Linked DNA regions of Rattus norvegicus. The protein of the gene in region 3 interacts with the protein of the main gene of each other region in a pairwise test. Links are inferred from orthologs where the notes say so. Each region holds a gene or a part of one and is shown on either strand. Other genes may lie near its edges.

The links.
Region 1: the proteins of Nab2 (region 3) and Nme7 interact in binary tests that used the Homo sapiens proteins (3 or more experiments, as listed by UniProt). The two-hybrid records come from large-scale screens. The link is inferred for Rattus norvegicus from reciprocal best matches to the Homo sapiens genes NAB2 and NME7.
Region 2: the proteins of Nab2 (region 3) and Rfc5 interact in binary tests that used the Homo sapiens proteins (3 or more experiments, as listed by UniProt). The link is inferred for Rattus norvegicus from reciprocal best matches to the Homo sapiens genes NAB2 and RFC5.

What each region holds. Positions count from the first base shown.
Region 1 is NC_086031.1:79,224,960-79,228,472, reverse strand, and holds part of Nme7 (nucleoside diphosphate kinase 7), read right to left. Parts: intron 1,873-3,513; coding exon 1,665-1,872; intron 1-1,664. UniProt on the Homo sapiens protein: Possesses an intrinsic kinase activity. Displays 3'-5' exonuclease activity with a preference for single-stranded DNA. Does not seem to have nucleoside diphosphate kinase activity.
Region 2 is NC_086030.1:44,867,168-44,871,132, forward strand, and holds the start of Rfc5 (replication factor C subunit 5), read left to right. Parts: upstream 1-1,154; 5' UTR 1,155-1,235; coding exon 1,236-1,294; intron 1,295-2,350; coding exon 2,351-2,415; intron 2,416-3,572; coding exon 3,573-3,709; intron 3,710-3,965. UniProt on the Homo sapiens protein: Subunit of the replication factor C (RFC) complex which acts during elongation of primed DNA templates by DNA polymerases delta and epsilon, and is necessary for ATP-dependent loading of proliferating cell nuclear antigen (PCNA) onto primed DNA.
Region 3 is NC_086025.1:65,386,455-65,390,484, reverse strand, and holds the start of Nab2 (NGFI-A-binding protein 2), read left to right. Parts: upstream 1-1,229; 5' UTR 1,230-1,439; coding exon 1,440-1,522; intron 1,523-2,578; coding exon 2,579-3,452; intron 3,453-3,812; coding exon 3,813-3,946; intron 3,947-4,030. UniProt on the Homo sapiens protein: Acts as a transcriptional repressor for zinc finger transcription factors EGR1 and EGR2. Isoform 2 lacks repression ability.

The sequences.
Region 1 (3,513 bases), on a different chromosome or scaffold from region 3:
AAAACCTGTTCCTTGCTCCAACATCTGCCAGGAGCAAAGGACTCTCTGAATGGGCTCACCTCTACAAAGCTCTCCCTGACACCCCCACCAGCACCATGTATCCATCCCAGCTGTGACTATTCAAGGACTTGTCACCTACTGTAACATTATACATTTGAAGAAAAGGACCAATTTGCAGATCTTACTGGCTTCCAAACACCTAGAACAAAACCTGACTCTGAGTATTTTCTTTTCACTAAATTTATACTTGAAAGATCAAACCTGCCATTCTGGAGACAGAGGCAAAAGGCTAGTAAGTCCCCTGGCCGACAGAACAAGTCCCAGGCCAACTATGGCTACATAGTGAGACCGTGATTCAAGTTTACAATTAAAAAAGTCAAAGATAATAACAGATATGTTAATATGCTATACTAATACATTTTATATTTTATTAGAATACATTAATTATATAGAAAATAGGCCTCCTGGGGACATTTTCATAGAGGTCCACACGCACTGTGATCTTACCAATCCCACGTTACTCTCCCTTTTCCCTCTATCCCATCCTCTTCTCTAATGGTTTCCCTTCTACTTTTATATGTAAATATTCTTTAAAGCATAAGCAAGCGGGAGGAAGAGAATTTACTCAAACACTGTATATATTTGAGTGATTCAGTTGGCAGAACGCTTAAAAATTAATAATTAACTATTATTATTGACTATTAACCTGCTTTGTCACTGTAAGTTAATTTCTATAATTTTATATAGACTTATACAATATATGCTATTTTTTCTAGTTTCTTTCACTCAACAAAAATATTCTGAGATTTCCTTGCTGTAATAATTTCTTTTCCCTTTCTTTTTGACAAATCAGGTACCACAGATGGCTACACGGTGTCTTGTCCATTCAGCCATCTCCTGGGCACCTATGATATTGTAACATGGATTGTCACAAACAAGCTGTTACCAATACTCACATCCAAGCTCCTCACAGGATAATTCTTATTTTTTTTTTTGTTAAAACCTCGATTTTTTTCTTTCTTTTTTAAAGAAACCTTTCTTGCTTTGGAATTTTTAATTACATTTTTATGTTTATCTATGTGTATGTGCATGGGCAGAGGTCAGAGAATAACTTGTGGGAATAAATTTCTCTGCTTCCACCACATGGGCCCCAGGTAACACAGCAGAACATCCGGCTTTGCCGCAAGCGCCTTTACCCACTGAGCTACCTTGCGAGAACAAGACCTAGGGTTCTAGCTTCTTCATGTAAGCTGCATGTTCCAGATCTAGTCACCAGCTTAGTTCACACCACTGCCTCATCTGAATTACAGACTACTCAAATGAAACCTTCGTTTGGAGTATCTACTATAGATCCATAAACTAGTACTCTTAATTTAATTAAGTCACAAACACGAGCCTCGGCAAATTAATCTTTTCCAGAAAGATGGGTGGTAGCAAATGTCAGACTTTGAGAAAACTGCACTGGACAACTGTGACCAACCGTTTTAAAAGGGGGTGTGGCTTGGAAACGGTACCTGAGCCTAGGAAAACTTCACCAGGTTTTCCAGGCTACATCATTAGCTGTTCCAAACCTCCCAAAGTCCTCTGCAGGAGAAATGTTTTACTTTGACACAAGACAATTTCCCAAACAAAGCAGAAGGAAAATATTTCTCAAAACAACTTACTCTGGCAGCGGACTCAAAAGTATCAGAGCCGTGAGCCGCATTTCTTATGCCATCTGTCCCAAAGAGGGCTCGGACGCTTCCGGGGGCTTCTGAACGCGCTATCCCAGAGTTTGCGGGTCCAAGCAACCTTTTCCACTCACATATGGCATCATCTCTCAAGATCTCCATGGCAATAACAGGCCCACTTGTGATAAACTGGATCAGTTCGCTGGGGAGCAGGGAAAAGCCAGTTACTTCTCTACGCTGTCAACCTAGGCATCTGCTTGACAATGAAGGTATGTTAGGACATCATAGTAAGTTCGAGGACTAGCATGTTGTGATCTGTTTCTGATCACAGGGAAGTGTATGAATATGGGAAATCGGCATGAACAGATGCCTTACAGTGACTGAGTCTGCCTCAAAATCGTTACAGGAAATACGACAAGGCCATTTCTGTTTGCAAGGGGAGGGAACACTTGTTGAATTCGGATGATTTCACTGACTTAAAATGCAGACCATTGATCTGATCTTCCCCACTACTCTAAGAAGGAGAAAGGTGATTCCATTCTGTTTTCCAATGGCTCAACGCAGCAGCCATGTAGAGTATTATAATAATACAGTGACAAGCATGGTATTTTGTAATGCTCAAGAACAACTTATTTAATTTTGCAGTGTGTAAGTACTGGAATGCAGAGAGTGACACTCTAAATCAATGTGATAAAGAAAGAGAATGTCAACAGGCTTTCAAAACCAGGCCTGTATTAGGCGAAAACCTGCCCTGGGTAATGGTATCTAAGTGATGGACCAGACACACAGGCTTTTATTGAAGTTTATGTCTGAGTCCCAGCTCCCTGGGAATGAAAAATGACACTCCATTTTATCTTTCTAATCTTTCTATTTCTTCATGTGCACACAATGCAACAATACGTTTAACTTGAAATAAGTGGTGTCCCAGCCTCTTACCTTCTTAAGCAGAGGCAGAACTGACAGGGCCTTCTCAGAGAAAGGAAGACAGGATACAGGCTTACCCGCCTGTCATAGTCACATATGACTACGACTGCACTGCATATAGCTTCTCAACCCGTCATCAATCCCTCCAGTCACTTAATAATGGCTGTGGTGTGTGACAACTGAAGGCCTGGTGGGCTACCGACAAGATATTGATCATGACCAGTGCCAAAGAACCAGCTAATTCATTCCTGGAAACTTTCTGCATATGAATTATATAGACGATATTAAACCAGGTGCTGTGACTTAGGGTTATAAAGACATACAAAGACTCTAAAACAAAGAATAATCGCCAAAAAATGTATATGATAATTCTAACAAAGTTTAGGAATATTTTACAATGTATGATTAAGTCATAAAGCAGTAATTTTATTATATAAATGTTCTTTTTTTTAAAAAAAAGTTATCCTTCTGTGTATGATATCAAATAAAATGTCTACCGCGCCAGGTTGGCTAAAACTTCATTTGTCTTTATTAGAGATTTGTTGAGAAGCCCTTGGTCCTGCCAAGGTTGGACCCCCAATGTAAGAGAATGTTGGGTGGGGGTGCCGGGAGGGGGTGGATGGGGAGAGGAACATCCTTATAGAAGGGGAGGGAGATGGGAAGAGGGGACTTATGTCTGAGAAACCAGGAAAGGGAATAACATTTGAAATGTAAATTAAAAAATCCAATAAAAAAAGAAATGTAAATACATAAAATATCCAAGAAAAATAATTTAAAAATAAAAACCAGAACAATGATCAAGCAAAAACAAAACAAACAAACAAAAAAAAAAAAACCCCACAACCCCCCCAGAAATTTGTCATTCCTTTGTCAATGGCACTGAGTATGCACATTAGTCACTTTAATTACATCCAAAATA
Region 2 (3,965 bases), on a different chromosome or scaffold from region 3:
CCAGAGGTCCTGAGTTCAATTCCCAGCAACCACATGGTGGCTTATAACCATCTTAATGGGAAGTGATGCCCTCTTCTGGTGTGTCTGAAGACAGCTACACTGTACTCAGATATATTTTTTTCTTTTTTCTTTTTCTTTTTTCTTTTTTTCGGAGCTGGGGACCAAACCCAGGGCCTTGCGCTTGCTAGGCAAGCGCTCTACCACTGAGCTAAATCCCCAACCCCTGTAGTCAGATATATTAAATAAATAAATCTTTAAAAAAAAAAAAGAGGAAAATAAAATTGGTCGCCAGGTAAGTGGAGCTCTCTTTTAATCCCAGCACTTGGGATGTAGAAGTGCAGGTGGATCTCTGAGTTTGAGGCTTGCCTGATCTACAGAGCGAGTTCCAGGGCAGCCAAAACTACAGAGAGAAACCCTGTCTCAAAAATAAATACATATAAATAAATAAATAAATAAATAAATAAATAAAAAATTGGTCTGTGATCCTCTCACTGTAGGAGAAAGTGTGTGTGTGTGTGTGTGTGTGTGTATAAAACAGAGATGTCTGTGTGTATATTTATGAATGTGTTATATGTATACATGTATGTGTCTATATGTAACTGTGTGTACTTATGTGTATATGTCTGAATATGTTCTGTGTGTAGATATGTATTATACATGTGTATGATGTGAGTATATATGTATGCGTGTGTATGTGTGCATATCAACTGTGTATTTGTGTATACATATGTGTATATGTGTGAGTGCAAACGTATATGTTTGTATGTAAGTGTGTGAGTGTCCGCGAATGGGAATGTATGTAGATGTATATCTGTATATGTAACTGTGTGTGTGACTGTGTGTGCGTGTTGCTGGTTATGGAACCAAGGGTGCGCTGACCACACCCCAGCCTCAGAAGTGTTTCTGGCTCCGGAACTCGCTGCCCCTTTGCGGCTTGCCCCTTGCGCTGGCAGGATCCGGTCCTGGTGAGGCCTGTGGTAAGTCTAGCTGTAGTGTGCTGCGTCTCTAGTCTTCCTGAAAGCCTAAGACTGCCGGCTCAGGCCCTAACCTGGCTGCAGGCCCGCGACTCCGGTTACCTAGCAACCAGCACCTTAGCAACCGGGAGGAGGCGGGGCTGGGGCCGGAAGCCGGAAGCCGGAAGCCGGAAGCCGGAGGCGAAGACTCGCGAGGGTTGGTTTGCGCGCGGACTCCGAGTCCAGTGGTTCGGTGGCCGGTCCCTGCAGCATCTGTCAGTCATGGCGGCGGCGCCTTCGCAGCAGCAGCCCCGGGCGGCCCGGGCCCGGAACCTGCCCTGGTAGGAGCGGCCCCGCATCCTGCTTCCCTCCCTTCTTCCTAGGAGCTTTGCATGTCCCCCTCCCGCTCCCGGCCGGATACCTAGCCTTTGCGCCGCAAGCCGCCCCTCCGCTTCCAAACCGAACTGTCTGTGATCTTATGCCTGAGTTCAGCTCAGCCATCCTCAAGTGCCTCGAGCATCGCCATTGCGCTCTGATGACCCTAACAGATGGATCCTGGGTTTCTTTAGAATGGTTCAGAGACCGGAGGAGTGGGTAGGCTAGGATTCGAACTCGTGTTCGAATTCAGCGCTTGCATTCTCTCCCTCTTATTTGCGGGGGAAGGGACCGTAGCAGCGCACCTTTGTGGCGGTGAGGATAACTTGCAGGACCCAGTTCTTTCCTTTTACTGGCATGGATTCCCGGGATCCACTCCAAGGCCCCAGAGTTTGCATACTGATAGACCTTACAGCAGTTTAGCGGTGTTTTAAACAAAGCCTGCCCAGCCATGCTTTCTTTTCAGTTTTTCTGGTCTCTACTGAGGAGGAAGAATTGCCTTGGATCACACGTTAAATTCTCAGGAGTGGAGTTACAGACGGTGTGGTCTTTTGAGTGTGACTTCTGGAACTCAGGGTTGTTCTTTTCGGTAGCATGGTTCAGCACTCAGTTCCCGCTTGAAAGCCAAATCCCAAGTGTATTGCCCTTCACTTGCTTGTGGGTATTTGAGTATGAGTCGATGCCTAACTGAAGCTGTGCAGTCTCAGCGCTGTTGTCTTGGGGGCGGGGGCACTGTTGGTGTGGAGCAACAGGGAGCTGTCTTGCCCACTGGAGGATGTTCAGCAACCTCCTGACCTCTCCTCAAAAGAGGCCACTAAGACCCTCTGCAGTTATTACAGCTAACCGGCCTGACAGATGTCTCGTGGTAACTGAACAGCTCTTGGTTGTGAGTGCCACTGACTCTGTTCAGACGTGAAGGGTTTCTCTTCCTCTGCTGCTAGGACGTGAAGGGCTTCTTTGCATGTAACAGAACCCATGACTCTTGGCGTATAAACTGTAACGCATGGTGAATCCTTTTTCAGGGTTGAGAAGTACCGGCCACAGACTCTGGCCGATCTCATATCTCACCAGGACATCCTGAGTACCAGTGAGTACCTGTGTCTGCTGCTGTTGTTGTCCTGGCGGGAGGGTTTGGGTCCATTTCGTGAAGACGCTGTCCCTGCTGGATGACACTTAAGGATGGACTGTGCTTTATAGAATGGGCTGTGTGTTTCCTTCTCCATAGTGCACCAAAATATCTAAGAGGACACATTTTTAAAGATTGGTTTGTTTGTTTTGGTTTTTTTTTTTTTTTTTTTTGGTTCTTTTTTTCGGAGCTGGGGACCGAACCCAGGGCCTTGCGCTTCCTAGGCAAGCGCTCTACCACTGAGCTAAATCCCCAACCCCGATTGGTTTGTTTTTATTGTAAGTGTGTGCTCCATGTGTGCCTGGTTTCTTCAGAGGCCAGGTGAGGGCCCAGGATCCTCTGGAACTGGAGTTGTAGGCTATTGTGAGCTGCCCTGTAGGTGCTAGGAACCAAAACCAGGTCCTCTGCAAGAGCACCCGGCTTAGCTGAGGCACCTTGTCAACTCCCCCATCCCCAAGACGACAACAGAGAGGAGAGATGACTGACTTTGCCTTATGGGTTCAGAGGTTCTGGTCCACCGTGCTTGGCTCTGTTGACTCTAGACCCTTGGTGAGCACAACTTCATGGCAGTGGGGGCATTCTGCTCCATAGTAGACAGGAAGTAGAGAGCTAAGCGGGGGTAGGGGTGAAGGTGGGGAATGGAGGTCAGTATGAACCTCAAACGCATGTGTTTGGTGGCCTGATTCCTCCAATGAGGCTGTGCCTCTAAACCAGTGATTCTCAACCTTCCTAAAGATGTGACCCTTTTAATGCAGTTCCTTGTGTTGTGGTGACTCCCCAACCATAAAATTATTTCATTGCTACTTAATAAATGGAATTCTGCTATTTACTGTTATAAATTGTAAATGTTTGATATGCAGGATATGTGTGTGATATGTAGCTCCTAAAAGGGTCAAGACTCACAGGTTGAGAACCATTGCTCTCAACTTTCTAGACCCTCCTGAGATAGAGAGACAGACAGACAAACCGTGGTCTGACTCCAGGACATTCCCTCCCTGTCTGCTCTGACTGGGTCACTGAAGAACTGAAGCACGTCTGGATGTAGCTTAAACAGGTGCTAAGGTGAGCATGCAGGACCCAGAGACTGACGTGTGTCATTGCTTCTTCCTGTCCTGCAGTTCAGAAGTTCATCAGTGAAGACCGCTTGCCACACCTACTTCTCTATGGCCCTCCAGGCACAGGAAAGACATCCACCATTCTGGCCTGTGCCAAGCAACTGTACAAAGATAAAGAATTCGGCTCCATGGTCTTGGAGGTGAGGAGACACTCTCACTCCACAAAAGCTCAGACCTTCGGACACTCACCTTTGGTCCTTTTTCACTCCCTGACCTGGTTGGGTTTGGCGAGTGGGATCTTGTGTGTGTGTGTGTGTGTGTGTGTGTGTGTTGGGGATGGGAGAGGGTGGTTTGGGGGGTGTCAATCGACACCAGCCCCAGGGGTCAAGACCCACAGGTTGAGAACCACTGCTCTACAAACACCTTTAAAAATGTCTCTTCATCTGGATCTTCTCA
Region 3 (4,030 bases):
ACACTACCCACGCCGTGCTGGGGCAAGCCACTCTCAAGTGCGGAGCAAAGGGGCGGAGCCGAGGTTTCTAACTAGAGGGACGTTTCCTCCCTCTGGCCAGTCCGCCACGCTTTCCACCCCCACCCTCTCTCCCCAAAGGCCTACACAACCCCCACGTGCCCAATACCCCCCCCAACCCTCCTAGCCGTGGGCGTGTAATGGGAACCAGATGGGGCTAGAAGAAACCGAGGGGGTTGGGCTCCTTGAAGGCGGTCCTCCGTGGTGGGCAGTCACGTAGACTACTCTTAGCCTCTTGCCAAGCTTCCACTACACTGTCCAGAGAGATCCAATAATTCATGACCTCAGAGAAGGCAGCCACCTTTTCCTGGCTTTGCCGTCCAATCCAAGCAGTAAGGCCTGACCATCAGAAAATAAAAAAGCATGGTAACCCCATCCCTGTCCTACCTACCAAACCCCGACGTGCCTAACCAACGCTCATGTAAGTAGTAGATTCTAGTATAACTTACGACCAGGGTTTCTGAGAGCCGCCTCTTCATATTACAACCTTTAGGCCAGAGAACGGTGTTGAAACACCGAAGGGATTCCTGCGCAGCCCCGCGCTAACAAGTTTACCCTAAGGGTACATCCTCCGGGAGCGGAGCAGGAGGAACCGAACACCCGGACCCCTCTCCAACTTTTTTCCCATCACTTCTAACATTCAAACTAACGGCATGGCGCGGCCAGAGTGCGGCCAACGGGCGTCCGCGTCGTTGTTTAGACGCGTGTGCACGTACGTGCGCGTGTCTTTGTATACTTGTGCGTGGTTGTGAAACTGCGCTCTCGGCTCACAGGAGTAGGAGTGGTGCAGGGAGTAGGAATGTAGCCGGCGGGGCGCTCACGTGGGTACGTGGGCGCAGAGAGGGCCGGCTGTGCATCCGGCGTGGGCGGCAAGGAGCGACCTGCCCCGCCCGTTGGGTCCCCAAGCTCCCCCCTCCATAGCTCGGCCTCGGTCACCTCAGTCCCCAACTCGGAGCCCGATTCTTGAGTCCCCGCCTCCGCCTCCTGCTCCACACCTTCCCCCCACCTTCCCCCAAGTCTCCTCCTCTCAGTCTCCGCAGCAGCCTCTCGGAGGCTCAGGCCTGGGCTCCCACCCACCGCCTCCGGTCCCAGCCCCCGGTTCTGCCCACGCCCTCCTCCCGCCAGCCCGGCAGCCAGCGCAGCGCGGGGCCTCGCTCCCTGTGCGTCCTGCGGGGGAGGAGGCGCGGAGAGGCGGCAAGCTCAGCCGGGGAGGTGGGGGCAGAGGCACAGACAGAGGCGCGGAGGCTCCGAGAGAGAAGACGTGGAGGGAGGGACGGAGCCAGGACAGCGGTGGACCCGGGCCGCGCGCGCTCCAGGCAAAGAGCAGCGCGCAGCAGGCGCCGGGCACCGAGACGGGAGGCACGGGTGATCTCTGGCCGTCCATGCACAGAGCGCCCTCTCCCACAGCGGAGCAGCCACCTGGCAGAGCGGATAACACCCGCCGGACCCCACAACCCAGAGTCAAGTTAGTGGGCAAAAGGAGGTGGCAGGGAGTGGAGATGGGTGGAGTTGGACTCCCGAATGGGGGTCTAGGGGGTGGGGGTCGAAAAGAGGACGTGGAGAATCGGGAGGTGGGAGGTGGAGACTGATAGAAAAGGGGGGGTGAGTATTCGAATTGGGGGATCCTGGGAGCAAACAAAGACCCAATGAGCCTGGTTACGATAGAGTACTGCCTCATTTTCCATTCCAGGTTTACTCAGTGGGCATAACCTGGTACGTGAGGCCCTACAAAGACTGTCCCCCAGCGCCAGGGAGAGCTCCAGAGCTTGATCTGTCAACAGTGAGGGGTGGGGGAGCTTAGCTGTCTTAGTGTGTCATTAGCCGGCAGCGCACCACCCCTAGGTCTGGGAGAAGGTGGTTCCTTTGAGTTAAGCATCTGTGGGCCTGAAGGGGGTGTGCTTCAGGCCTCCCTTGTCATGAAATGACCATTCACTGAATGAGGAGGGGTAGCCCCCGCATGCAGCCCCTTCCTCAAGAGGCCTTCAGTCTCTCTCGCACTCCCTTTTGAAGATAAGGATGGAAAACAAGGAGAAGAGAGTAGGCGGGAGCCCCCAGGCAGTTTTCGCCTACAGACGCTGCTCCTGTGGGAGTGTGTGGGAAGAACGGCCCCAGAGCAGAACAATCAAGGCTTCCCTCCCCCTTTCCCAGAAGAGAAGGACCAATCAAAGGAGAGGGGGTAACTGGAAGGGTACTGGGCAGCCTAGAAAGTTCGGACAGATTCTAGGAAGAGTGCTTTTAAACCCTGGAACCTAAGGACATGAGCAAGGGTCTACCAGGTTCCCTAAAGGCCAAGGAAGAGGCCACACCCCTCCCTCCCAGCTACCTGGGCAAGGAGTGAAGTGGCCAGCAGTAGCCCCTAGTATTCTAAGTTAACTTTAATATGGGATGTTTGTGCCACTGAGCAATGCTCCATTCTCAACCTTGGGCACTGGGCAGGAAAGAGGACAACTGTTAGTGTGGGTTGGTTGGTACCCAGCAGGACACTTGTACTCACCGCCTGTCTCCTGCCCTTCCTTCTCAGGGCAAGTGCCTCAACCATGGCACTGCCTCGAACACTGGGTGAGCTGCAGCTGTACCGGGTCCTGCAGCGTGCCAACCTTCTTTCTTACTACGAGACCTTCATCCAGCAGGGAGGGGATGATGTACAGCAGCTGTGTGAGGCGGGCGAGGAGGAGTTCCTGGAAATCATGGCACTTGTGGGCATGGCCACCAAACCACTCCATGTCCGACGTCTACAGAAGGCTCTGAGAGAATGGGCCACCAACCCAGGGCTCTTCAGCCAACCAGTGCCTGCTGTGCCTGTCTCCAGCATCCCACTTTTCAAGATCTCTGAGACAGCTGGTACCCGGAAAGGGAGCATGAGCAATGGGCATGGCAGCCCAGGAGAAAAGGCGGGCAGTGCTCGAAGCTTTAGCCCCAAGAGTCCCCTTGAACTTGGAGAGAAGCTATCACCACTTCCTGGAGGACCTGGTGCAGGGGATCCCCGGATCTGGCCAGGCCAGAGCACTCCAGAATCTGATGTTGGAGCAGGAGGAGAAGAGGAGGCCGGGTCTCCCCCTTTCTCCCCCCCTGCAGGGGGAGGAGTCCCTGAGGGGACTGGGGCTGGGGGGGTGGCTGCAGGTGGCACAGGGGGTGGTCCAGACCGCCTGGAACCAGAGATGGTGCGAATGGTGGTAGAGAGTGTGGAGAGGATCTTCCGGAGTTTCCCCAGGGGTGACACTGGAGAGATCACATCCCTGTTGAAGCTGAATAAGAAGCTGGCACGGAGTGTGGGGCACATCTTTGAGATGGATGATAACGACAGCCAGAAAGAAGAGGAGATCCGAAAATATAGCATCATCTATGGCCGCTTGGATTCCAAACGGCGTGAGGGCAAACAGCTTAGCTTGCACGAGGTGAGTACCTGGGTCTTCAGGACTGCCCTTCACTCCTGGGCTCAGTTCACTTGCCTCAGAATCCTCCACCTCTGTATCACTGTCCCCTTGACCACCCCAGTTCCTTCCACACACCCACACATACCCAACCCCAGCTGCTGCCTCACTTCCCTCAACCTAAGGGAAGAATAATGGCAACGAAACCCTGTGCTGCTCACATGCCAGGAACAGGAGGCCTTGGGAGGGACAGTCTCTAAGTTCAGGCAGTTAAGTCCTGGGTATTATTTAAAGCAGGCATTCTTTGGATGGGCCTCCCTTGGTGGTGAAGGGGAAAAGCAGTAGGAGAACCAAGAACTCACACTGATTGTCCTCTTGCCACAGTTGACCATCAATGAGGCTGCTGCCCAGTTCTGCATGAGGGACAACACCCTTTTACTTCGAAGGGTAGAACTTTTCTCACTGTCCCGCCAAGTAGCCCGAGAGAGCACCTATCTTTCTTCCTTGAAGGGATCCAGGTGAGACCCCCTTCCTTCCCCAAGGTTGGAATCCTGCCAAGGACTTGGCTCTCCCAACTTGCAACTCAGGCAGCTCCAGGCCTG